Linked DNA regions of Rattus norvegicus. The protein of the gene in region 6 purifies or fractionates together with the protein of the main gene of each other region. This does not show direct contact. Links are inferred from orthologs where the notes say so. Each region holds a gene or a part of one and is shown on either strand. Other genes may lie near its edges. The genes, in order: Cdc26, Anapc7, Anapc2, Anapc11, Ttk, Cdc27 and Cdh1.

Region 1 (4,204 bases), on a different chromosome or scaffold from region 6:
GCTTTCGGCACCTGAAGTAGCTTCCCAGACCAATAAGTTTTGATCCTATAACATGACTCATCAGAGGGGCACAGTCGTGTACACCTGATTCTAGTACCAGGGAGGAGGCAGAAGCAGTGTGAGGTCACAGGCAAGAGTGTAGTGGAAAGATGAGAATGTGGTTCAGTGGCAGAACAGTTGCCTAGCATGCAAAAAACCCTGGGTTGGATTCCTAGCACTGTTAAAAAAGGGGGGGAGGGGGTGTGTGATTTTCAACTTGCATCTTACCAGACGTTATATTAATATTTCCTGCTTCAATGCCGGCTTTGAGTCCTTCTTTTCCCAAAATCCCAGACTCTCCTTTGGCCAGGCGTTCCCGCTCTTTCTCTTCCAAGCTTCCATAATAGATGTGTGGTTTCTTCACAACAGGAGCAACTAAATCGTCAGGTGCTTTAGTTTTGGTTGTCTGTTAAATCAAAGACCCCGATTAAGGTTTGGTCCTAGCAAACCATGCTTTCCAAAAGAATGAAGGAAATGCTGAGCCTTCATTTTATTTCCTCTCACAACTAGGACAAAGTCGAAAGTGACTTTGCGCCGAGCTCACGCTCTCGTTAAATTTGGCACACAATTACAATTAAACAATTTCTGTCTGATATGTCTTGGTTTGTTTTGGGGCCTGTTACTTTAATCTATTCGAAATGCAATCTCCGATTTTACGAAAATAACTTCTCGCCACTGGACATACACCCAAAACAACCCAAACAATTCGGCGCACCAAGTCACAATGTTACTGGAATACACATTTCAAATACTTTCAGAGCCTATTAGAAGTTGGGAGGCCTCATAAGTACCAGTCGTACAGCTTACGTCAAGACACTGCCCGATTTCAAAGAACTGTGCTTTGGAGCAGTCAGAAAAAGTGTTGTTCACTGCTCAGGGCTTAAGTAAGAGCAGTGCAAAAAGAGCTGCAGTTTAGGCGTTTAGAAATCAGGAAAAGGCTGCTAAGGTCCACACCACGGTCCCCCAGCCTTCCTCCTCCTCCTCCTCTGCCCGGACCCGTAAGGTAACGGCCCTTTCCCACGGGGACCGCGTCCTCCCTAGGAGAGGATAAGCATGAACTTAGATGCGGAACTCCGTACCGTGGAGGAGGCTCGTGAGGAGGCCATGCCGGGCTCTGGAGCCGCGAGGCCCTAGCCAAATCCCGTTCTGCTTTTCAGACCGGGAACCGCGCGCCTAGCAAAGTGGAAGTGCGTCACTGGCCGGAAATGTACCAGTTCGTGCTCTAGGAGTCGCGAAGTATCTTGGGAGTGGTAGTTGCCAAGTGTCGGCTGTCATCGATGGGCGTGGCCTTATAGAGCGGCACAACCTCTCGGGAGAAGAGGCGCGTGGGAAAAAAAGGCGCAGAGCAACTTGGGAAGTGTAGTTCGGGCTGCGTAGCAATGGAGTCAAGGTGGGAGTTGAGGTTCTGGGAAGCTTCAGAGGCCTGAAAAGAGGTAAGTTTGCGAATCGCAAGTCTAATCTGGAACAAACCAAGGGTCTCTGCTCTCCTTCGGGAGGCCTTCCGTCATTTTGAAACCGAGGCCTGTGCTGCCATTGAAATCTCTCCCTAGACTTCTGCAGCATTGGAGCTGGGAAAGAGGACTGTTGTTCACGACGGAAGTTCTCCGGGGGCCCCTGGTAACTGGGTGGCTACGAAGTGATTTTGTGCTTTAAGAAGACATTAAACTCGAAGAGCCTTCTAAGGCTAAAATAGAGATGTGGTGGAGGAGCTGCGGCCTAGTTTGTTGTTGTTTTACTTGTCTACAGCCTGTTCTTTTTATATGTTCTTTGAAATAAAGGGTCCAGGGAGGCGCCAGATAAAGTGTATACCAGCAGCTGCAGTTGCAATGATTGCTAGGCCGTCAGAGATATTTTTTTTTTAAACCCTTACATGAAAGTTGCGGGGATTGCAAAATATTCGCGTTTGCTGAGCTGAACAGACTCATTCTCACTCTTAAGCCTCTTTCTTCCCCGAACAACTCCAGTTAGAAGAGCACTTCCACTTCGAGGGCTTACTAAATGCCACGTTACGCGCAAGGAGCTTATTCTATCTTAGTTATTTAAGTCGCGGGACAACAAGAGTAAAGATCAGAAAATAAATTCTGGTGAGAAAAGGTAATCCGTCGTTCTGGAGCCACAGTGTAGTAGGGTTAGTAATGTGGCGGGTGGACTGCCGCGCTTTTAACCCGTACTCACTGTTGCTCTCTAGTGGTGAGGCTTTCAGTTCATACCCAAGTAGGAAATTATTTTTCTTAAGTATTTCTTCCCTTTCTCTTTGGAGCTGGCTTCCATTTCTCTACTTAGGGATCTGGTAGAAGGTAGTATCTGATAGAATAAAGCAGTTTGAATTGTCACAGGCCAGTGTTTTGTGTTGACCATATGGCCCCTTGAGATGTGATATAATGTGACACTCCTGAGAGAAGTGTAAGAAGTGTAAATGTTTCGTATACATCGTAGTCTTTTGTTTCATTCTGCTAGCATGCAATAATAATTTATATGGATGCACACTATATCGGAACTTTTTTTTTGCGGAACTTTCACGAAGATCATTATCACAACTTTTTATTCTAGTGGTCTATGAGTAACTTTTATAGGAGGCTATTTTGTTTTTTTTTTGGAAGACAGGGTTTCTCTGTGTAGCCCTGGATGCCCTGGAACATGTTCTGTAGACCAGGCTGACCTCAAACTTACAGAGATCTGCTTGCCTCTGCCTTCAGAGTGCTGGGATTAAAGGTGTGTGCCACCACCACCCGGCTTCTGAATTTGTTAATTAAACTGTTTGCTTCAACTTTATAAAACTGGAATAATTTTTCAAGCTTCCCAAGGCTTCTGTATTAAAGTAATATAAAGAATGGGAATGTGGGTTGGTTCAGTCGTAAAGGAGCCCATGCTAAGTGTGGTGTCCTACATAGTAGATGGAGAGAACCAACTCCCAGACATTGTCCTCTGACCTCTGCCTGTGGGCTATGTGCTTTCACCAGCACCCAACAAATAAATAGAACAAACTTTTTTTTAAGAGGCAAAAACTTTTGAGTTATCAAAGTGAGAAGAAAAACCAATAATGGGAGAGTCTAGAATTTAAGAAAAGTTAGTTTCACTTTCTCTATTTTTTATGGCTCAGTTTACTTTGTTGTGGATGCTGTGGAGGACATAGAGACAATACCTTCAACAGATACTAAAGTCAGCTTAGGTTTTCTTTTTTTCTTTTTCTTTTTTTCGGAGCTGGGGACCGAACCCAGGGCCTTGCGCTTGCTAGGCAAGTGCTCTACCACTGAGCTAAATCCCCAACCCCTTAGGTTTTCTTCTTAACTTTTGATTGATTCTTTGTGAACATCACATCATCCACCCCAGTCCCACTCATCTCCCTGTCCCTTTGCATCTGCCCTTGCAACCTCCCCCCTACAATAAGAAAATAAGATAGAATAAACAAAAATTTGTCATGGACTCTGTAGCACATCATGGTGTATCATGGAGTATACCCGTTTGTCCACACACCTAAACTTATAAATGCTCATTCAGTGCAATGAGTCATGGGCCTGTTTTAGGGCCTCTGGCTTTTGCTACACTATACTGGAACCTCACTAGGACTCCTCTCAGATATGTTGTTGCCCTGTGTCATGGAGATGTGACCCTGCAGCTTGTGCAGATCATAGATGGGGTAGATGCTGGGGTGGGCCAACTCAGAGCCCTGGATTTGGTCCTGGGAGGTAGCTGAGTTGATCAGCCTGCCACCTGTATCTGCACCATCCGGGTGAACTCTCCAACACTGCTCCAGCTAGTTTACCCAGTGCCACAGCTGGCAAGGGGGAGTGTCAGCTCTCCTGTTCTCAGGTCTTCAGGGACTACCTCATCCACGCCTTTCACCGGGGCTAGCTCTACTGCTGCCCAGGTGAGTTGCAGGGCCCACTCTACCGGGTGCTGCCAGCTCAAGTGTTTGTTCTGAAACAAACATGGGCTTTGTTAACACAAACCTTCATTCTCCATATGAACTTCTCTGACCTTAAGTCTGTCTGCCTACCCTTCAAATTCACTAAGACACCTTTTCCCATAGGGAATTGAGATCCCTAGCCACTCTTAGGCAGCCCACCCTCGGCTAGATGCTCATGCAGTGCTGTTGAAGGACCCTCCTTAGAGTTCTGTTTTTGCCCTAGATTGGCATGGTCTGTTGTGTTGTGTTTTCCCCACA
Region 2 (3,766 bases), on a different chromosome or scaffold from region 6:
ACAGATGGTGGAGCAGTTCTGCCTGCACCTGCCTGAAGTGCTGTGTGTGTCACACCAGATGTGGCTTAGACCTGCTTAGGTTGGTTTACACCAGTTAACGTTACTTGGTAGCTGGTGAACTCATCTGGTTGGTTTAGTTTTGAACTCGTTTAGTGTGTTACAGCTGACTTTGGTCAGTTTGGTTCTGAGCTATCTGGATTCTCTTGTTCTTTTTGCTTCTGGCATATTCCTAAGTTTATTTGATGCTATCAAGAGGGTATTTTGGTTCAGGGTTCTAGTTCAGGGCCATTGGCCTCATCTGGTGCTGGCCTGGTCTGCAGAGGAGTTCCAGGACAGCTCGTCTGCAAAAAAAAAAAAAAAAAGTTTTTTTTAAAGATTCAGGGCACAGACTCAGTGGCTTGGGTAAAGAGGCCACCAAGACTGACGACCTCAGTTCAGTCCTCAGGACCTGCGTGATAGATAGATTGTCCTCTGACCTCCTCTCATGTGCTGTGTGTGCTTGCCCACACCACTGTATAAATAAGTTCATGGATGCATGGTTTTTAAAGACACAGTACTCATGTCATTTCCCAATGAACTAGAGACCACATGCCCCTCACCCCTGCAGCGCCCCTTTGAGGGGGTCTCTGAGAAAGTTGTCGTGTCATAGTGGGTGTGACTGTGCACTAGCTGAGCAGTAAAGGTTGTCTTTCTCTGCAGGCAGGGAGCAGAAGTACGAAGATGGAATTGCTCTGCTGAGAAATGCACTGGCCAACCAGAGCGACTGCGTCCTGCACCGCATCCTGGGGGACTTCCTGGTGTCTGTGAATGAGTACCAGGAAGCAATGGACCAGTATAGCATAGCACTGAGGTAGGTGCCCGGCCTCCATGGGGAGGAGAGGAAAGGAAGCAGGGCCCAGGCAGCTCTGCAGACAGCTGTGCCCAAGGTGAAGGCAGGCTAAGAATAGCAATGAGAGAAGGTATTTGCAAATTCATGACTCCTGACATATTTTCCTAAAGCATATTAGAAGAATTAGAGATGATCATCCTTCTCCAGCCCACATAAGAGTAACACCCAGACTGATCTGTGCGGCTCTCCTGTGCTTGCCCACACCCCCATGACGTCATAGGCTTATGCCGAGTACATATTTTACATTCTGCTTTTTATGATCAGAGTTTGCTAAGTGTGTGCTTCTGGTTTTGTCTGCTCTAGTAATTAAAAACTTAAATTCCGAAGTTTGAGTACAGCTTCTACCTGTTATCTTGGTCAAATACTAACCAATTCCCTGTCTATACCTACCTCATTGGGCATTAACTAGGGGTATCAAGATAATAATTGCTACATAATCGTGCAGACCCAAGTTCGATTCCCAAAACACATGTAAAGGTTGAAGGAGAGAATTGACTCCAAGGTTGTCCTCTGACGTGTGCGCCATGGCTTTTACACAACGCACAGACAATGTGTGTGTGTACACACAATAATACATTTAATTTTTTAATGTAAATTTCTAGGACTTTTCTTTTAAAGCTTTCTTAGGAGCCAAATAAATGAGGCTCCTGGGCTCTGGGCTTCATGGTGTTGCTACTAGTGAAACTGTCTTAGTCCAGCCCCTAGCCTCAGGACTTATGATCTGTCCCAGAGTGTAGCATGGTTGACGGCGGTGGCTGCCTGCAGTCCACGGTATAAAGTCACATGGAAGAATAACCAGCCTGGGGCAGGCTACATGCAATCATCATGTACCCGAGGCTGCCCGGGTGTCCTGATCCTGTTTCCCTCCTGGATGTGCTGGGCTGTGTCCTGTGCCTGGCCTCAAGCACCAGGCCTTCTGCGAGCACCGCTGCTCTGTCTGGTCACTGCCCCCGACTGCCCTCACTGCCTCCCCTGCTCCCACTGCCTCCCCTGCCCCCACTGTCCCCACTGTCCTCCACTGTCCTCCACTGCCCCCACTGCCTCCACTGCCCCCACTGCCTCCCATTGCCTCCACTTCCCCCACTGCCTCCACTGCCTACAGGAGAGTTAAGGGCTTGGTATTTGAGGAGCTTTAAAAACTTTTTGGAGGAAAATTTGAAGTTAGAATTTTTAATTGCCATTTTAAAGTGAATTGTTTATTAATTTATTTTATGTGGATGGGTTTGCTTGCATGAATGTCTGTGGACCATGTATGTGCCTGGTGCCCAGAGAGGCCAGAGGAGGGTGTCAGATACTTGGGAACTGGGGTCACTGTTGGTCATGAGTCATATATGGGTGCTGGGAACTGAACCCAGCAACAGATGCACTTGACCACTGAGCCACCTCTCCGGCCCCTTCAAGTTAAAAGTTCTAAAACTCCGAATAATGTCCCTTTTCATCTCTGATGGACTCCCTGGGTCCAGCCATGGAAGCACAGTTGTTTGCAACGTCTCTGGCTTAGTCATATCTGCTGGGCCAGCTCAGTGACAGTCCCAAGAAGCAGGGCAGAGACTCAGGCCTGTCTTCTGTTTTGTTGTTCCTCAGTTTGGACCCCAATGACCAGAAGTCCCTGGAGGGCATGCAGAAGATGGAGAAGGAGGGGAGCCCCACAGACGCCACTCAGGAGGACGACGTGGACGACATGGAGGGCAGTGGGGAAGAAGGGGACCTGGAGGGTAGCGACAGTGAGGCAGCCCAGTGGGCTGACCAGGAGCAGTGGTTTGGCATGCAGTGAGGGCACAGCGGTGACCCTTGTGTCCCTAGAGTGGCAGGAGCTGTTGGACGTGTGCTCACAGCAGGCCTTTCTGCCTGTTTCCTCAAGTTGGCACTGATGTTTGTCCGTCTGCTTTGCTGTGGACTGAGCGAGTTCCGAGCCACAGACTCGCCATTCTGGATGGTTCGGCTGCACGAAATGGAAGATGCTTTTTCTCTTTATGAGCGGGTACATAGGACTGAGCCATCCTCTTAAGAGCACATGCCCCTGGGTGGCCCTGTCAGAGGTTCGGTCCCTGGGAGTCACATCCTGGTACGGCCACACTCCTGTAGTCATGGAGCTCTGGATGGGGGGGGGCGGGCTGTGCCTCACTGACTGCAGAGCAGGCTCGGCCTCAGTGGGCAGATCTGAGAAGCAGATGATGGGAGCATGGCCACCCCAGGGCAGGTTCAACTAATAAAACTGCCCAGTGTGGTGTCACATGTCACAGTGGACACCCTTTGAGACTCTTCCTTTTTCCTCCTTGTCAGAGGCAGCCATGCAGGCCTAGACAGTTTGACATACATATACTCCCTATTCTCCCATGTGCTGGGAGGCAGAGCCCTGAGCTTGTCACACAGAACCAGCCTGGCTCTTTCCTGAGTCCCTGAGGGCAGGGTCAGCCTTGATCATCTGCCTAGAGTCTCATTCAGCTACTGGGGATGGGTCGACTCCAGGTCCCTCCTGGGTGCCTTTCAAGATGCAGATCGGTGTGCTAGGAAGAAATGAGGTTTACTGTAAAGAATCCGTAGTCGATTTCAGAGCATCTGTCAGTGCAGTGAAGTGGGCCACGTAGTCTGGTGGAAACATTCCGGAAGCCTGCACTTGGGAGGCAGAGGCAGACAGTTCAAATGTGCTGGGCTGCACTGCAAGATTTGCATTAAGAGACATAAGTTAAGCGGACCAGGTCTCATAAAGTGTGTCAGTGAGCCTCAGCCTCCACACTAGCCGGCCCTGAGCAGTCTCAGGCTCCCTTTGAGCAAGCAGCATGTGGGTGGTGCTTTTCCTGACTCCACCCCGCCAGCAGCCCCACTCACCAGTCAGTGCTGAGAGAAGGCAAAATCTGTTCAGCCACAAATTGAACC
Region 3 (3,500 bases), on a different chromosome or scaffold from region 6:
TAAGGAGCAAGGCTACACATATCATCACTTGGTGTACATGAGGATCTCCTCATCCCTGAGACAACCAGACTTTGGGTGGGTGGGTGGGGGCAGTAATTATCATTACAATACATAACAAAGACCAAACCTCAACAGCCAGAATGACCAAACTTTGGCCCTAGTCTTTTGCTTCCTGCTTTCCCTTCAGCCCAGTGTTTCCTGAGCAGGTGGGTTGTCTGGTCCAGCTGTCTGCTTAGGGTATCAGTTGAAATGGAGTCACATTGCAGCCCCTCACAGAAACTTGTCCTTGCAGGGAGATTCGTAATGTGGAGCTGTTGAAGCTGCGCTTTGGAGAAGCCCCCATGCACTTCTGTGAGGTCATGCTCAAGGTAAATACCCAGGACTGCCCCGAGAGTTGTGCCTACCATCACCATTAAGCCCAGGCCGTTGATGAGGTATCCTTTCTTAGGACATGGCAGATTCCCGCCGCATCAATGCCAATATCCGTGAGGAGGATGAGAAGCGGCCTGTGGAAGAACAGCCACCATTTGGGGTCTATGCCGTCATATTGTCCAGTGAATTTTGGCCTCCCTTCAAAGATGAGAAGCTGGAGGTCCCTGAGGACATCAGGGCAGCCCTGGATGTTTACTGCAAGAAGTATGAGAAACTGAAGGTACAGCCAGTAGGCCTCTGGGTAGTTTGTGTCTCTGATCAGACCATCAGACCCCACATAGAATTAGCCCATGTCCAGGTAGCACAGCTGAGCCCTAATGGTGTAGAGGTTAGAGTTCAGGGAGTGGTATGGCCAAATTCAAGGATCCTTCCTGAGCTGGTGTCAGTTATGACATGGGAGGCAAGAGTCTAACGCAGGTGGGGCAAGCGTCCTACTCTGGGTCATACATAAATGTGGGGCCAGCCTTGTCGGGTCAGGCTGGACACTGACGCCTCAGGCAGGCGTGCCATGGGGGCATCTGCAGCATCTTGTTCCTGATGAGCATAGTGCTGAGGCTCGTGCTTCTTCCTGGGATCAGAAGACCTTACGTGGCTTCATGCTAAGGATCTGTGCCCCTGGATGATCCCTTTGAGTACTTGAGGGGCAACAAAATCCAGTCAGAGGCCCTGACTGGAGAAATTAAAGAAGGGGAGTGTCTGTGTCAGTAGCCGTGAGAACCTTGCTACCTGGCTGAGTTTCTGAAAGAGTCTAAATATGGTCTTTGGCCTTTACTGACACCAGGTGAAAGTGTGGTTACTGGTCACCAGTATGTCCTGTTTTGGTTGAGTACCACAGCCCTACCACTTCCTGGCCAGTCCTGTGTACTCAGTGTCCTCTCCTACTGTTCCTCTGACCTATTTTGGTATGAGGTCCTCGTTGGCTTTGCTAAGTTTTTGCCCTGGGTCCTAGACATGACTTAGATGCGTCTTGTTGATCAGATCCAAAGAGTTAGGATGGCCATACACTAGTGTGACTCAATTTTTGGTGGTACTAGAATGGCTCTGGTAAACCCTAGGGCTGTGCTAAGAGGGCAAGCCTGTGGCCACAATAAAGTTATCTTTCACCAGCCAAGTTCCTAAAGGATCTGGCTGGGTTTGTGGGTGACTGACTATGCAGCCCATATATTGTGATGTATTGTGACCCTTTTTCAGGTCATGGCTTTAGAACCAGTGTTAGGATAGCTAAACTGGATGAAACCAGGGGAAGCCATTGATACTGCCTGTTTCTCTATCTGTAGAGTGAGTTTATTGGTATACTTCTCCGTTAAGAGCTACAGGGGTCCCAGAGGGTCTCAGGCCATCAGTTTTGCCACTAGGTCAGAGGTACCAGTGTCCTGGGTGTCCTTATGACATACTGCAGACACAGGTTTGCCAGATTAGAGCTGTATTGCTGAGTTGTGATGCCCCAGGATGCTCTAGGGAAACCATTTTTCCTGCCTCTCGCAGGAGCCCTAGCAGACCTAAGTAAATGGACTTTTTGTTTGTTTGTTTTGATTTTGTTTTTCGAGATAGGGTTTCTTTGTATAATCCTGGCTGTCCTGGAACTTACTCTGTAGACCAGGCTGGCCGCCAACTCAGAGATCCGCCTGCCTCTGCCTCCCGAGTGCTGGGATTAAAGGTGTGCACCACCCTTGCCCAGGTGGTAAATACATGTCTTTATGTCCAGGTTTTCTCTGTCTGTTCCTCTCTTCTTAGGATACCATTTATAATCAGATTAAGGACCAATTCTACTGCAGGACAACCTTATTTTAGCAGATTACTTATTTAATGACTCTGTTTCCAAATAAGGCCACATTTGGAGATAGGACTTACAGTGTCACTGGACAGTCAGTGTCCTGAGCTTTACTACTGTCTCTTTGAAGAGATACAGTTTGACCCATGGCAGTCTGTAGTTTCTAAAATTACTACTCTTCCCAGGAGCAAATTAGCCAATACCAGTATCTCCCAAGTAGCATCCCAACTGATGCTAACCACTTCAGCATCAGTTCTTAAAGTCTCTTCTAGTCCAGGGGGGCAGCACATGTCTATGATCCTAGCACTCAGGAGACTAAAGTAGTAGGACAGCAGGTTTCGTGTCCAGCTTGACGCTGTGACATTGTTTTGATCAGAGTCCATTGTTCAAACAAGCCTAGGTCAGAAATGGGCATTCCCAAAGGAACCTAGAAGGATCATGAGCCGAAAGCAAATCTGAAACCCAGCAGGCAGAGTTCACAGTCTGGCTCAGGCTTTGGCACCTGGCTTGCCTTGCAGCCCCGTGTGTACTCTCCCGTGCTGCTGTCACTTCATTCACGGTCAGCACTGCTGCTGGCATAACATTCAAAACCTTGGTGCTTTCCATGAAATGTGCAGTATCCAATTTATCAAGTAACGGCGTGGTCCTGAGCTGGTGACGCCTGTCCTCCCAGCCTTGGAAGGTGAGCACAGCAGCAGCATCCTAGTTTGAAGCTAGCTTGCTGTACATAGCAAGTTTCAAGGCAACTAGGGCTACAGAGTAAGGTCCTGTCTTTAAAAACAGGAAAAGAAAGGGAAGCGGTGGGTTGGGGATTTAGCTCAGTGGTAGAGCGCTTGCCTAGCAACCGCAAGGTCCTGGGTTCGGTCCCCCGCTCAAAAAAAAAAAAAAAAAAGAAAGGGAAGCGGTATCTTCCTGGCCATGCTGTGTGTTCTAGTGGATCTACAAGTCACAAGTCACACTCATCTCAGCGAACGTCTGGCCACAGCCTGGTGGTTTTCTGCCAGCTTCCCCCAGCGTCTAGTTTGTTCCTCACTTCGATCTGCGCTCTCACCAGAAGGTCCTCTTAATGTCCTCATCTCTACCAACATTATTCTCCACAGTCTGTGCAGTAACTCTCTCTTCTGAACCTTCACCAGCATCATCTCACCTGCCATATCGTTACAGCCCATTGGCTGTAACAGATCTAGGCTTTAACTTTCATGTGTTTCCCCAATGTACAAACAATTATAGCAGTTTCCCTCCCTCTCTAGAACATTTTTTTTTTTTTTTGAGACAGGGCTTCTCTGTATAGCCATGG
Region 4 (3,500 bases), about 16 Mb from region 6:
AAATTAAGTTATGAAGACCATAATAAATCTGTTCTAGGACCCTGGGGGCTTTAGGGCACAACAGTCTTACGAAGAGGCTTTTAATTAAAAGTAATTCCATCAAGGCACTAGCAAGTCCTTGCATGAGTCACCCTCAGCGCACCAGCTCACTCATGGATGACTCCAGCTTGCTGCCTGCAGGGACATCTTGAGAACAAGACAGTATCTTCCTCCGAGTGATTACCCACACGGGGGCCAGCTCAGTAACCCCTGTCAGTGAGCTAGTGGGGTCCACGTCTAACTGGAAGAGAGTGTCTTCAAGCAGAGTTCTGCTGAAGTTAGCAGCCACCAGTGGTGGCTTTAATCCCTGCACTTGGCCAGCCTGGTCTACAGAGTAAGTTCCACCAGCTTTGCATAGAGAAACCTTGTCCTTAAAACAAGAAGGAAGGAAGGAAGGGAGGAAGGAAGGAAGGAAGAGGCTTGGTAGATATGACAGACACAGCACTGGTGCCCCCAGGTAGACTGGGTGCCGTGAGGCTCAACTGATGTGAGGCAGGTGCTCTGAGCGCTACGTTCTTCAGTGGGGTTTTCTAGGCCCTGGAAGTCAGGAATGTTTGTTTTTAAACAGGCTCTCATTTCTCTTGAATCCTCTTGCCTCCGCCTCCCTTCCTGAGTGCTGGGATTATCCTCTTAGGTAAGGCTTGGGGAGAATGCAGGGCGTTGGACATTCTGAACAACCCTTCTACTGGTGGAGCTACATTTCCCGTAAACCCCCCCCCCCCAGTGTTTGTTTTTAAATTTTACTTTAAAAAGGCTTATCTATTTTTATTTTACATGTTTCGCCTGAGTGTATATCTGTACCACATGCCTGCAGTGCCTGGGGGAACCGGAAGAGGGTGTCAGATCTGCTAGGATTGGAGTACAAATGGCTGTGAGCTGTCATGTGGAGGCTGGGAACTGAACCCTGGGTCCTGGGCGAGATCAGCAAGTGCCCTTAACTCTGCAGCCCCTGTTAGCTCTGATTATGACAGTCCATCTCGGCTTGGACTTAATCCACATCTCCAAGCCTGTAGAGGGCCTGTGGCCTGGGCCCTGGCTTTGGACGGAAGTAGGAGTTGAGGGTTCAGGTAAAGAAGAGAAGGTTAACAGATGCTGATGAGTCCCACTAGTAACTGTCCCAGAAACACCTATGTCCCCAAGGTCTGCAGTGCAGTACATCTCTGATGTCTAGGAAAGGAGCTTTCTAAGTTCCAGGATGTCTGCAATGAAGACAGAGTTCTCCACTCAGGCTGTGACTTTTCGGCTCTTCAGCACTTTGGTCATTAATGCTGCCTTTCCGTAGAAAGGTGTGAGAGGGGGACCGGAAACCAGTGGGCTGGGCTGGGCTGGGTCTCCCCTCTGAGGACACTTTACTTGCCTCTGAGGGAGTCACTGCAGATTTTTTATTCGAGGGCCATGTCTGGGGATAATTGGGTAGCACTCCTACTCTTTGTCTCTTCTGATGTGGGAGGCCTGAGAGGCTCTCTGCCTGCGGACTAGAGCTGTTTACTAATGTCCCAGAGGCCTGCCTGGCTTGTCACATGCTCAGTGTGTCTTCTTCCTAAGGCCTGTCTGTCTCCCCTTCTTGCAGGTAAGGTGCCTGGTGACGACTGTCCCCTGGTGTGGGGACAGTGCTCTCACTGCTTCCATATGCACTGCATCCTCAAGTGGCTGAACGCACAGCAGGTGCAGCAGCACTGCCCCATGTGTCGACAGGAGTGGAAGTTCAAAGAGTGAAGCCTGCCATGCCCACTCCCTTCTCCCAGCGCTGTGCCAGGCTCAGCCCCACCTTTCCCTTCCCCAGATAGGGCATCCCGAGTCCCCTCCACACAGCTCAGGGGTGCCCAGGGACCCCATTCTGTGCTGGGGACAAGGATGCTTTCTGTTTGGCTGAGACGAGGTGGAAACGAGGACTGGAGCTTTGCTGGGTGTTTTGTTTTTCCCATCACATTGACACTTTTATTAAATAAGTAAAACTCATTAAAGTTCTGAGCCGCTGGAGGCCTCTGCTTGCCTGTTTTCCCTGACATATTGATGCAGCTGCAGCATGTTTTGCTGTGAACACACTCATAAATAAACAGTTTGGTAAAGTATCAGCCAAGACCTTCATCATAATCTGAGTCACAGCTCCGACAGGAAGAGTGGAAGAGACTCGGGCAGGGCCAAGCTGGGCAAAGACTTTAGGGTGTGTTTGTGTCAAGGGCCTAGCAGCCAGCACATAGCCCACCAGCTGCCCTAGTCTTCTGGGAGTCCCAGGATCTCTTCCCATCCTACCCCTAGCTGAGCAAAGCTGGATGCTGCTCCTCCAGAGCCACTGTGGTTAGAGGAAGAGGTAGCTAAGCAGGCACCAGCCATGCCCAGATGACCTTGGAAGACTACTTCAGCAAGCTCTTGAGTCTCTTGCCTCTTCTTCAGGCTGAAAGCAGAGCTGGTGTAGGAGGATGTGGGTCCTCTGGTGTCTTAGGGAAGGACAGCCATTTGGAAACTCCTTTATTCCCATGGCGGTTGTGGGGTGGGGGGGATTATCAGCCATTGGGAAAACAGTAGCCCAGCCCTAGTGTGTTAAGCTCCTGGGTAGAGACCAATTTTGGCTGGTATCCGGGAGTCGTGGCCAGCTCCGCGCCTTGTCTTCACTGACCATTCCCAGTAACACCTTCACATTCCCTATGCGCTCTACAGCCTGGGGAGTAGACCACCATGGCTGGTTCCACCCATCTGTGTCATCATCATGTTTGTTGGCTACAAGACTCCCTGCCACCTCTGTGTGGTGTCCTTGGGGTACCTGAAGCAGACCCGTGCTGCTGGGAAACAACTTCATGTCACTCGGCTATCTATGGCATGCTGGTCTGGAGCTGGCACCAACTATCAGGAGTGAAGAAGGCCACTTCCTGGTGTAACTCAGCCTAAGGATCGCGGAGCGCTGCAGAGGGAGCTGAGATTTGTGGATTTGGAGCTGCTTGGGCGGGCAGGTGTGGTCTGTCCTTGCTTGGTGGCTATGAAAGACTGAGGGGCAGGGTGCTAGGGTCAGCTTGTTTCTTCTTTTTTTTTTGGTTCTTTTTTTCGGAGCTGGGGACCGAACCCAGGGCCTTGCGCTTCCTAGGTAAGTGCTCTACCACTGAGCTAAATCCCCAGCCCCCAGCTTGTTTCTTCTATCTCCAGTCTGCCCACCCCCTTGGGGTGTCCTCCGTGCCTTTTCTAGGAACCTAGGAGTCTAGGAAGCACTCCTGACATCCTTATGCTCCCAGGTTCCTCCGTTCCCCTCAGAGTCCCTCATGGCCACACACGTCACTCATTCTGGGTTCCTTAGCACCCAGATTCCTTATGATGTGCTCATGTTGTCAGCAGCTCCTGGTCCCAGGGTCAACTCCACCTGCTTCCTCCAAAAAAGTCACCTGATAGACCAGCTATAGCTTGTGCTCACCCTGAGCCGCTTTCCCAGACAGGAACAGAAGGCCTTGTAGGAAGCTTACACCATTGGCCTC
Region 5 (3,500 bases), on a different chromosome or scaffold from region 6:
ACTAGTACTTTTGTTCTTAATGTAAATTCTTTTCTGTGGACATAGATCCCTCAGAGTTAAGTTTGGACATTTCCTATAATGGTACATAAAGAATAGTCTACATCTTTAAAAAGGGAAGTTACCAAGTGTATTTGTTATGAGAGCTCTTGGTTTTTGAGTCTGAGTCTAGTCTCCTGTTGCAGTATTCAAGAACCTGACGATGCTCACGACTACTTCCAAATGGCCCGAGAGAACTGCAAGAAGTTTGCTTTCGTGCATGTCTCTTTCGCACAGTTTGAACTGTCTCAAGGTAATCTGAAAATATCACGTTTACATTTTGAGTGAAAGCACATTACTGTAGCATTAATATGGAATCACAGATTTGAAGTGAAATATTAAAGCAGAAATATTGCAGGGGATCAGATGAGCACGTGGAGTGGAGAGCTCCATGGTGTAAGTGTAAACTGTTCTCTGGGCTGTCTTTATCCTCAGAAGGACCGTTCTGTGGGAGCAAGTACACACACTGCATCTCTGTCCTTCACTCAGGATCCATCTGAAGGAATGTTTGTGTCCGTTGAGTTTTTGTGGAATAGATGATAAGACATTTTAGCTAGCACTTAGTCAGTCAAGGCTGTGGCTTCCAAGCACTGAGCGTGTTAAGATAATGCTGTGACACTGAGCTGCTGACCTCACACACCACTACAAGGACTGTCCCCTCGCTCGTGTCATCCATCAGTCTGTCTTTTGACTGAGGGCAGGACATCTTCCCTGAGACGTTTCTACCCTGTGTAGCCCTCAGCGTATCCTCTGGCCAAGTCTTTTTCTCCTCTGCTTACTGGTGCTGCTATTCTGATTTCGTGTACTGCAGTTGAGCATCAGCACAGCTAGCAGCGGCCCTCTGACAGTACCTAAAGTAAGGTTTGCAGGCTGCTCCCCAGAATTGAGGTAGGGAAATACTGTGTAACACAGACATGGTTTGAGAATTCGGAGTTTACCTATGGGATTCCTAAGCCAGTAAGTTAAATATGTAGTCAGCTGTGTCCGTGTAAAGCATACATTTCCTTCCTAGAAAAACTGATGCTTTCTTGCTTCTTATGGCAGATCTGGTCAGGCTTTAAAGACCCTGTGGCCTTTCAGTAGTAACTATAATTCTTACATCTTAGAACAAATAAATTGAGCTGACTATAAAAACAACTACATCACTGAAGTTTGGCAGCGGCCACCAGATCAAAATTGTGACTGTTTTGAACAGGGTGGGTGGATAGAGTGCTAGGAGCTACCTCAGCTTCACGAGGCCTGTGGCCTGATTCCCGTGTGCATGTATAGGGAAAGGGCTTCCCAGGTTCTGTATCTGATTCTCTAATGGACTTTTGACCTGAGTTAATAAGACCCTAAATTACTGGTGCTTCTCTAAGTCACTATTCTCAGTAAACATAGGGATTTAATCTTTAACATATATTCTTTAAAATTTGTAAATTGTGAGTAAGAGGTTATCTCTTGTTTTTAAAGGTTTTCTTATGGGCATATGTGGGATGTTGAGCATATCTCCTGCCCTCAGTTCTTTCTGCCCTCCCTTCCCCTCTTTAATCTCCTTGGCTGCCCTAGACAGTTTCACCTCTACTTGCATATATGTGTGTGTATGTGTATATGTGTACAGATATAGGTAGATGTAGATATGGATATATGATTTTGTGTTACTGTACAAAATATAGGACCATAAAAGAGGAAAAAAGACATTTATCGGGGTTGGGGATTTAGCTCAGTGGTAGAGCGCTTGCCTAGGAAGCTCAAGGCCCTGGGTTCGGCCCCCAGCTCCGGAAAAAAAAAAAAAAAAAAAAGACATCTATCTAAGGTTAGCTTAATTTGCTTAATGTGATTGTCTGTAGTTGTATCCATGTTCCTGCAAAAGTCACTACTTTATTCCTCATGGCTGAAAATGATTTCATTGTGTGTATGTACCACATTTTTGTCATCCATTTCTCTGTTGTGATATCTATATTGGCATCATAACTTAGCTGTTGTAAATAGTTTCTTCTTTTATGTCTATGAGTATTTTGCCTGCATGTATGTACTTAAACCATGTACATACATACCTGGCACCCACATGGGTCAGAAGCAGGCATTGGCCCCTGGAGTTGGTAAATGGTTGTGAGCTGCCATGCGGGTGCTGTGAACCAAATCCTGGTCCTCTACAAGAACAGCAAGTGCTCTTAACTACTGAGCCTTCTCTCCAGCTCTGCAGTGCTGCAGTAAACACTGGGGTGAGGGGTCCCTGTGGTACGTTGCACTGCAGTCCTTTGAGTAAACAAACATGTGGGAGAGGCAGAGGAGGTTCATCTCTTTCCTCTGTTGCTGGTGTGTTGAGAAACCTTGGTACTGATTTCCACAGAGGTTGGACTAGTCTGTATTTTCATTAGTGATGCTTACAATTTCTCTCTTGTCCACATTTGATCCAGCATTATTGTTTGTTTTTTATATTTGTTTTTTTTTAATGACTCCCATTCTGACTGGAGTAAAATGGATTCTTAATGTAGTTTGATTTGCATTTTTCTTTCCCTAGTGAAGTTAAACATTTTTTCATGTATTTATTGACCACTTGTATTTCTTCCTTCATGACTATCTTTTCATTATCTTATTTATTGATTTGGTTATTTTCTCGTTTCTTAGTTTTTTAAGTTCTTTGTATATTTTAGATATTAGGCCTCTATTAGATGCATAGCTGGCAAAGAACACCCATGTTCTCTACTTGATTAGCTATTTCCTTTGTTGTACAGAAGCTTTCTAATGTTGCTTGCCAGTTCGGCTCTCATTTTCTGAGCAAGTAGGACTCTATTCAGAAAGTCTTTTCCTGTGGTTAGGTATTGAAGTGTCTTTCTTACATGATATTCTTTATACCCTAAGTGCCATGTATAGCATTGTAGCCCGTGAATTCCGTGACTGCTGATATCATCCTGTGTGCTACGTGATGTACACATTGAACATTTACCAACTATTAAAGATCCAGCTTGTATTTGAAAGGAAATTTGATAACGTCTGGTTGAATAAACTTTTGTATTAGTTATTTTGTATTTTGGCAGTGGCATAGATTAATTTAACAGCAGATGTTAGCCCTCTAACTTTTTTTTTTTTAATAAATCCTTTTGCTAGAAAAGTTTTTAGCAAATTTTCACTCTTGATGACTAAATGTTATTATGAATAGTATATTATAACAAATGTTTGCTTTAATATGGAGAGTACTCAAGATGCTTCTAATTGCTGTAGTGTGTGTGTGTGTGTGTGTGTGTGTGTGTGTGTGTGTGTGTGTATGCACTAGTTTATTAAACTTCTAAATGGTTTTCAGTGGTGAGCAGGAATTGGGAAAGAGGACTTAACTCTGTGTGATAAGTGAGAAATTGTGTATTTGCTTATGCAGTAGTGTGAAGCAGTCTAATCTTTCCACTAGGTCTTAATGAATCAATGAGCTGGGAATAGTGGGCAAAGGGTCCTGCATCAAATAACAGTTGTTTTCCCTCTCTTAGGCA
Region 6 (3,500 bases):
TGATAAGCCTGGATTTTATTCCTTTCCACAGGAGAATAGCAAAAAGTTAAAAATGAAGTTTCCACCTAAAATCCCAAACAGAAAAACAAAAAGTAAAACTAATAAAGGAGGAATAACTCAACCCAACATAAACGATAGTCTGGAAATTACAAAATTGGACTCTTCTATCATTTCAGAAGGGAAAATATCCACAATCACACCTCAGATCCAGGCATTTAACCTACAAAAGGCAGCAGCAGGTCTGTTTATAAAGCTTACTGTACTTCCTGTATTTCTGCTTTATTTTATACTTATTTTGATTAAGTTTCTTCATGCCTTATTGTTTTTAGATTAATGCTGGCACTAAAGGTTATTTTAATGGATATTTTTATGTTTTGAAGTTTGTGTCTCTTATCTGTTTCTATGGCTGTGTTTATCTCAAAGAAGCCCAGATTGGGTGTGAATCCCACAGGATGGGAGTTGTAGATGGTGTGAGCTACCGTGTAAATGCTGGGAACTGGACAAAAGTGCTTTTAACAACTGAGCCCCTTTTAAAAACCTTTTTAACTTAATTACATTTTATTTTATTTCATTGAGAGAGGTTGTGTGTGTGTGTGTGTGTGTGTGTGTGTGTGTGTGTGTGTGTGTGTGTGTGTGTGTACACATGTATGTATGTGGTCCCAGGGATCAAACTCAGGTCATCAGTCAAGAACCTTTAACCACCAAGCAATCATGTCAGCCCAAATACTGGAAATTTTTTAAAGGAATAGTTTGTAGTTAACGGTTTTAGAAAACCAAAGTTGTGTGTATTTTTCTCCTTTGTTTATCATATTGTTTTCTCCTAGAAGGTTTGATGAGCCTTCTTCGTGAAATGGGAAAAGGTTATTTAGCTTTGTGTTCATACAACTGCAAAGAAGCTATAAATATTCTGAGCCACCTACCTTCTCACCACTACAGTACTGGCTGGGTCCTGTGCCAGATTGGACGGGCTTATTTTGAACTTTCAGAATACATGCAGGTAAATATACCAAGATACATATACTTCCTAGAATTAATTTAACTTTTATGCTGAAGGCTGATCCTAACAATTAATATTCATTTATTATATAATTGTTTTCCTAGTATGTATAACTGTCATAATTAGGATTACTATTGCTGTAGTGAAACACCAGACCAGAAGCAACTTGGAGAGGAAAGGGTTTATTTTGCTCACAGTTCCTTGTAACAGTTCATCATTGAAAGCAGTGAGGGGCCTGGAGAGCTGGCTCAGGTCAGCAGTTTAGAGCACTAGCTGTTCTTCTAGAGGTCCTGAGTTCAATTCTCAGCATTCACATACCCACACGGTGTCTCACAGCCATCTGTATGGGATCCGATGCCCTCTTCTGGTGTGTCTGAAGACAGTGACAGTGTACTCACATACAATAAATTTTTTTAAAAAAAGCAGTAAGGGCAGGAACCTGGAGGCGGGAGCTGATGTAGGTGGAGGGTGCTGCTTACTGGCTTACTCCTCATGCTCAGCCAGTTTTCTTACAGAACCCAGGACCACCAACCCACAGATGGCACCACCCATGATGAGCTGGGCCCTCTTCCATCAATCACTAATTTAAAAAACACCATTCTGTAGGATCTTATGGAGGTGTTTCCTTGGTTGAGGTTCCATTTTTTTTTTTTCTAGATTAACTCTAGCTTATATCAAATTAATATAAAACTAAGAGACACAATAATTTATAAATAAAATCATTTCTTATATTGAGAGAATCTAACCTTAGTGGGCTTTCTTGAAAAGGATTTTAGAGAACAATCATCAAGTTAATGTAAATTATACACTGATCTGAATGTTTGGCATTTAGTGTGCTTTATAAACTTAATGCTATGAAGAATATTATATTTAATTGAAGATGTCCTAATAACAGGCTTTTTTTTTTTTTCTTTTGAGGCAGAATCTTTTCACCTCTTAGCTCTGGCTGGCCTGGAACCCGCTATCTACATCAGCCTCATCTCTAATGCTAGGGTTAAAGGCATATACCACCAGACTTGGCTGGTTTTGTTTTTGGGATAGGGTTGCATGTAGGCCAGACTGTCCCTGAATTCTATAAGCCAGGATTACTCAAACTCCTAATTCTCTTCTCTTCCCTCTTAGATTACAGAAATCTCCTACCATCCCAATTTATGAACCCATGTAGGAGTTGAATCCAGGGCTCCATACATGCTACACCAACCTTACCAACTGAGAGAGACTTCAGTTTCTTTTTTGTTCTCAGAGATCATAATCACCTGTGAAGTTTAGTTTGTTTTGGGGGTTTTAGGGTTTTTTGTTGTTGGGCGGATGGGTGTGTGTGTGCACACATGAGCACACGAGAGAGATGGGGCGGGGAGGTTTCTGTTTAATCCCCTGCTGGCCTCATACTCAGAGATCCACCTGCCTTTGCCTCCCAAGTGCTGGGACTAAAAGCATGCAGTGCCACCACCACCAGGCTTTATTTTAGAGACAGGGTCTTGCTGTGTAGACCAGGGCCACCTTGAGTTCATCTATGGCCCAGGCCAGCCTCAACTTGCTAGTCCTGTTGTTGCTTTTGTATTCAGTTGTAGCTGATAATTGATTTTTGAAAGGTGACAATAGCTTCTGAAAGTTTTGAAGCCAAAAGGTTTCTGTGTGGTTAATTACTTTGTTATGTCATATAACATAACAATTTGTATGTTTTTTTAGAAGCACTTATAACTTTTAAAGAGATTCAAGGGGACTTAAAAAACAGTAAACTGATTCTGCGTGACAAATCACTGTGTTTGGGGCAAATGGTTCCAGTTTTATAAATGGTCTTTCCCAGGACTGGAGATTGACCCAGCAGCTAACAGCACTTGCTGTACCTGTAGAGGTCCAGTTCCCAGCACCACAGTTGTCTCCCAGTCGTCTGTAACTCCATCTCTAAGGCTTTGATGGGCTCGTCTGGCCTCTCAAGTACCCACTTACATAAAGTCAAATGACAGTTCTTTCCTTAATTTCTGTCATGTTCATTATGAATACATCCCAAATATTCCTTATTCTCAACTGTGACTTTGAACATTTTGACTTACTAAGGTGTCAAAACTAGGTAACACATCAGTCCTATAAATGTGAAGTTTTTATAAAATTTATAAGAAGCACGGTTTTAGAAAGTGTAAATATTTTGAGAGAGATAAAGGTGACCTGTTAGCTCTGGGGAGGCCTTAGAAAGAGTCTGTTGGTCGTGGGTCCTGTGCCTCCAGCAGACACAGGGCTCGGTGGTGCTCGGCACTCGGCGTGCAATGGAGTTGGTAGCTGTTCACCTTTTTAGCCTCTAAAAGTTTCAGCTCAGCTTTTCATTAAGTTCATGTTCTCTGTCTGTCTGTCTGTGTCTGTCTTCTCTCCCCCTCTTCTCCCTCCCTCTCTCTCTTTAAAATTGTGTCATATGTGAGTGCTTGCATCCACAGGAGGATATTAGATCCCCTGGAACTGCAATTCCTGATAGTTGTAAGCTGCTGTGTGAGTGCTGGGAACCAAAGCC
Region 7 (3,500 bases), on a different chromosome or scaffold from region 6:
ATACCCCAAGATTTTTTTGGAAAAAAAAATTTTTTTTTGAGACATGGTTTCCTGTATCACCCAGGCTAGTTTTGAACTCACCATGTAGCCACGAAAGGCCTTAAAATTGAGGTGACCCTCCCTTCCCTCATGCGTGGTTCTAAGATTCCAAAGAAAGTCTACCTCACTCTGCTTTTCCTTACCTTTTTTTTCCCTTTCTTTTCTTTTTTTCAGAGCTGGGGACCAAACCCAGGGCCTTGTGCTTGCTAGGCAAGCGCTCTACCACTGAGCTAAATCCCCAACCCCTTTTCCTTACTTTCTAATAAGATCTGCGAGAGCCAGGCTTTGGTAGGAGGTTGAGGCAGGGTGATTGTAATTCCAAAGGCAGCATGCTAAGACTTTGTCTCAAAAAACAAACAACAACAACAAAACAGTACCCCCCACCCCCGAATTAAAATGTGTGAGTAATAGACTAGGAAGAGAAGAAAGCTGCCTTTGAAATGAGAAATACACTCATTGTACACAGTGTGCAATAAACTTGTCAGAATTCTGAGACAAGGGCAGAGGCTCTGGTTTGCTCGGAACCTGCTGAGGGATCACAGATAAGCTAAGTCATCATTTGTCACTATCCTTCAGCTGTGACACCCTTTCTGTTTTCTCTTAGGTTCACCCATTGCCACTGGCACAGGGACTCTTCTCCTGGTCCTGTCAGACGTCAACGACAATGCTCCCATCCCAGAACCTCGAAATATGCAGTTCTGCCAGAGAAACCCGAAGCCCCATGTCATCACCATCTTGGATCCAGACCTTCCCCCAAACACATCCCCCTTCACTGCAGAGCTCACCCATGGGGCCAGCGTCAACTGGACCATTGAGTACAATGACGCAGGTGTGAAGGCTCACTGTTTTTAGAGAGGTTCTACCAGTCCCGCTTCACCCTTCCCTTTGATATTCGGCCCTAGTTCCTTACACATCTCATGCACACTCCTATTCCTCTGAGAGACATACTGCACAGTAATATGAGCTCCAAACAGTTCCTTCCCCCAGCACTGGATGCCCAGCACTTTGGTTCCCTAAACATTTTGATCCACTGAGCTATTCATTCTGTCCCCTCCCCTGGTTCCATCGTTTCTTTTTTTTTTCCTTTCCCCAGAACAAGAATCTCTCATTTTGCAACCAAGAAAGGACTTAGAGATTGGCGAATACAAAATCAATCTCAAGCTCTCGGATAACCAGAATAAAGACCAGGTGACCACGTTGGAGGTCCACGTGTGTGACTGTGAAGGGACCGTCAACAACTGCATGAAGGCGATCTCCCTGGAAGCAGGATTACAAGTTCCCGCCATCCTTGGAATCCTGGGAGGGATCCTGGCCCTCCTGAGTAAGTCCAGGTCGCAGGTGCCTCAAAACGGGGAAGGACCATCTGCTAAGAGGAGCTGGTAGTTGGAGTACAGAGCAAACTGGTGATGACGTGGAGTTGGGTGCGGGAGCCTTCTGTCTCTTTGTGCTCCCCTAGATTGAGGACATGCAAGTCACCTGTGCCCCTCAGTAAAGTGGGACTTTAGACCCAGCATTCCTAGCAGGACTCCGCAGAGGCTCCATTTTAAACCAGTCCCCAAGAAATGCTGAGCTGGCAGCAAGGGTATCGCACACTATTCTCGGTAGCATAGTTTAGCGGCCAGTTAACCACCCCCTCTGCATTCCATCCTGGAGGGCAGATGAAAGAGGAAGTAGAGGCCACCTAACTGCAAGTTGTAGATGTCGCCACCACTTGCATCTCGTTGGCTCAAATGTAGCCATACCAAGTTACAAGGAACCCTGGGAGCTCTTGCTCTTAACTGGGTGACGAGAGCCCATGGAATGTCTGGGAGGCAGTGGAGATGGAGGGTCAAGTGAACAATGGTATCTAATCCATGGCTGAAAAATTGAAAGAGAATGGAGATGCTGGAGGGAATCTGTCATTTCTGTCCATAGTCCTTGGTCTGATTTTACCTGGAGAGAGTTCTGGGCTTGGTGCCAATGCCGTGAGGATTTCAATGATCAAGGGTTTGTGGGGATTTTTCGTTTGTTTGCTTTGTTTTATTTTTTAATTGTTTATTGAGAACATACCTGACCTTTTTTTTTTAAATTTTTTTGGGGGGCAGTCGATATGTTTTATTAGACTTGGCTAAAGTGGAAATTCTCCTATCAGATGTTTGAAGCATAAGTGGTATCAGGAGCCAGACGTCACACTTGTTTATTATTTCTGTTGTATTGTTTCTTGAGAAATGGTCTCCTCTGACTGAACATGAGATAGTCTTCATTCAGGTGGCTACCCACCCGCCGCCTGCCTGGTGGTGTAAGACTGTGTGGTTCCGGGATGGCTGCTTCCTCTGCTTTCTTGCCTGTGACTCATCACTTTTCCCTCCCTCCCTTCCCTGTCTCCAGTTCTGATCCTCCTGCTCCTACTGTTTCTACGGAGGAGAACGGTGGTCAAAGAGCCCTTGCTGCCACCAGATGACGATACCCGGGACAATGTGTATTACTATGATGAAGAGGGAGGTGGAGAAGAAGACCAGGTGGGTTTTAAAGATGGAGAACTTCATGTCTGACTGAGGCTACTTCATTGGCTACATGTCTGTCATGTAGGCTACTTCATTCACCCTGCTGTACGGCTATGGAGCACAGACCTCTATGGTCACAAGAATTCCAGACACTCTAGTGTTTGCTGCAGTGTTTGTTGATCACATCGAGGCTCACAACGTCTGTAAATCAGTGAGGACTGCTAATCTCGCAGAATTGAGATGAAAGGCCCTAAGCCGCATCCTGTGCTCAGGTCTGCTGCGTGGGAGCCTCGTGTGAGTTGCAGTAGGAATGCATCACTGCTGTCTTATTGCCTCAAGCCCCTCACATGACAGAGCCCATTGCTGACAGACAGGACACTACTTGCATCGGCTGTGGTGGGGAGGACTAAGTGTTTGCCAAGTGATAACCTGATAATCATGTCCCATGAAACGAGTAGGACACAATAACTTGAGTTCATGCCATCCCCAAGGTCTCCTTTTTCTTTCAGTTTGAGTTAGGAGACTTTTTAATTTGCAAAATGCCATTTTACATACATTTGGTCACTCGGGGGTCATTTGGCGTTTTCCATAGGCACAGTCTGTGATGCCATGAAGCAAACCCTGCCCTGTGCAATGCAGATGCTTCTTTATCACGTGTTGTCATGTTCTGCTCTTCTCTCTAGGACTTTGATTTGAGCCAGCTGCACAGGGGCCTTGATGCCAGACCGGAAGTGATTCGAAATGATGTGGCTCCCACCCTCATGAGCATGCCCCAGTATCGTCCCCGTCCAGCCAATCCTGATGAAATCGGGAACTTCATCGATGAAGTAAGTAGGCAAAACCGTGAGCCAAGGCAAGTGCATCTCTTAACGCAGAACCAAGGAGAAAACCATTCCAGTGAGGAATGTTGCCTTCCTGGGCCTACGTCCCCGAGACAAAAGCAAAGTCTACTTGCAAAGATTTGGTAGACCTAGAAGG

Evidence for each region.
Region 1: the proteins of Cdc27 (region 6) and Cdc26 purify together in Homo sapiens (affinity purification with mass spectrometry; 12 studies listed by BioGRID and IntAct, with this or other methods). This does not show direct contact. The link is inferred for Rattus norvegicus from reciprocal best matches to the Homo sapiens genes CDC27 and CDC26.
Region 2: the proteins of Cdc27 (region 6) and Anapc7 purify together in Homo sapiens (affinity purification with western blotting; 23 studies listed by BioGRID and IntAct, with this or other methods). This does not show direct contact. The link is inferred for Rattus norvegicus from reciprocal best matches to the Homo sapiens genes CDC27 and ANAPC7.
Region 3: the proteins of Cdc27 (region 6) and Anapc2 purify together in Homo sapiens (affinity purification with western blotting; 20 studies listed by BioGRID and IntAct, with this or other methods). This does not show direct contact. The link is inferred for Rattus norvegicus from reciprocal best matches to the Homo sapiens genes CDC27 and ANAPC2.
Region 4: the proteins of Cdc27 (region 6) and Anapc11 purify together in Homo sapiens (affinity purification with mass spectrometry; 8 studies listed by BioGRID, with this or other methods). This does not show direct contact. The link is inferred for Rattus norvegicus from reciprocal best matches to the Homo sapiens genes CDC27 and ANAPC11.
Region 5: the proteins of Cdc27 (region 6) and Ttk purify together in Homo sapiens (affinity purification with western blotting; 3 studies listed by BioGRID). This does not show direct contact. The link is inferred for Rattus norvegicus from reciprocal best matches to the Homo sapiens genes CDC27 and TTK.
Region 7: the proteins of Cdc27 (region 6) and Cdh1 purify together in Homo sapiens (affinity purification with western blotting; 4 studies listed by BioGRID and IntAct, with this or other methods). This does not show direct contact. The link is inferred for Rattus norvegicus from reciprocal best matches to the Homo sapiens genes CDC27 and CDH1.

What each region holds. Positions count from the first base shown.
Region 1 is NC_086023.1:80,872,527-80,876,730, reverse strand, and holds the start of Cdc26 (anaphase-promoting complex subunit CDC26), read left to right. Parts: upstream 1-1,404; 5' UTR 1,405-1,472; intron 1,473-4,200; exon of another isoform or gene 4,201-4,204. Other genes in the region: Prpf4 (U4/U6 small nuclear ribonucleoprotein Prp4), read right to left, coding at 268-445, 1,119-1,145. UniProt on the Homo sapiens protein: Component of the anaphase promoting complex/cyclosome (APC/C), a cell cycle-regulated E3 ubiquitin ligase that controls progression through mitosis and the G1 phase of the cell cycle.
Region 2 is NC_086030.1:39,793,849-39,797,614, reverse strand, and holds the end of Anapc7 (anaphase-promoting complex subunit 7), read left to right. Parts: intron 1-699; coding exon 700-850; intron 851-2,473; coding exon 2,474-2,663; 3' UTR 2,664-3,266; downstream 3,267-3,766. UniProt on the Homo sapiens protein: Component of the anaphase promoting complex/cyclosome (APC/C), a cell cycle-regulated E3 ubiquitin ligase that controls progression through mitosis and the G1 phase of the cell cycle.
Region 3 is NC_086021.1:28,491,128-28,494,627, forward strand, and holds part of Anapc2 (anaphase-promoting complex subunit 2), read left to right. Parts: intron 1-292; coding exon 293-368; intron 369-448; coding exon 449-652; intron 653-3,500. UniProt on the Homo sapiens protein: Together with the RING-H2 protein ANAPC11, constitutes the catalytic component of the anaphase promoting complex/cyclosome (APC/C), a cell cycle-regulated E3 ubiquitin ligase that controls progression through mitosis and the G1 phase of the cell cycle.
Region 4 is NC_086028.1:106,380,134-106,383,633, forward strand, and holds part of Anapc11 (anaphase-promoting complex subunit 11), read left to right. Parts: intron 1-1,609; coding exon 1,610-1,755; 3' UTR 1,756-3,500. UniProt on the Homo sapiens protein: Together with the cullin protein ANAPC2, constitutes the catalytic component of the anaphase promoting complex/cyclosome (APC/C), a cell cycle-regulated E3 ubiquitin ligase that controls progression through mitosis and the G1 phase of the cell cycle.
Region 5 is NC_086026.1:93,641,139-93,644,638, forward strand, and holds part of Ttk (dual specificity protein kinase TTK), read left to right. Parts: intron 1-182; coding exon 183-289; intron 290-3,497; coding exon 3,498-3,500.
Region 6 is NC_086028.1:89,915,271-89,918,770, reverse strand, and holds part of Cdc27 (cell division cycle protein 27 homolog), read left to right. Parts: intron 1-31; coding exon 32-239; intron 240-824; coding exon 825-997; intron 998-3,500. UniProt on the Homo sapiens protein: Component of the anaphase promoting complex/cyclosome (APC/C), a cell cycle-regulated E3 ubiquitin ligase that controls progression through mitosis and the G1 phase of the cell cycle.
Region 7 is NC_086037.1:51,464,678-51,468,177, forward strand, and holds part of Cdh1 (cadherin-1 precursor), read left to right. Parts: intron 1-643; coding exon 644-868; intron 869-1,132; coding exon 1,133-1,360; intron 1,361-2,406; coding exon 2,407-2,537; intron 2,538-3,205; coding exon 3,206-3,349; intron 3,350-3,500.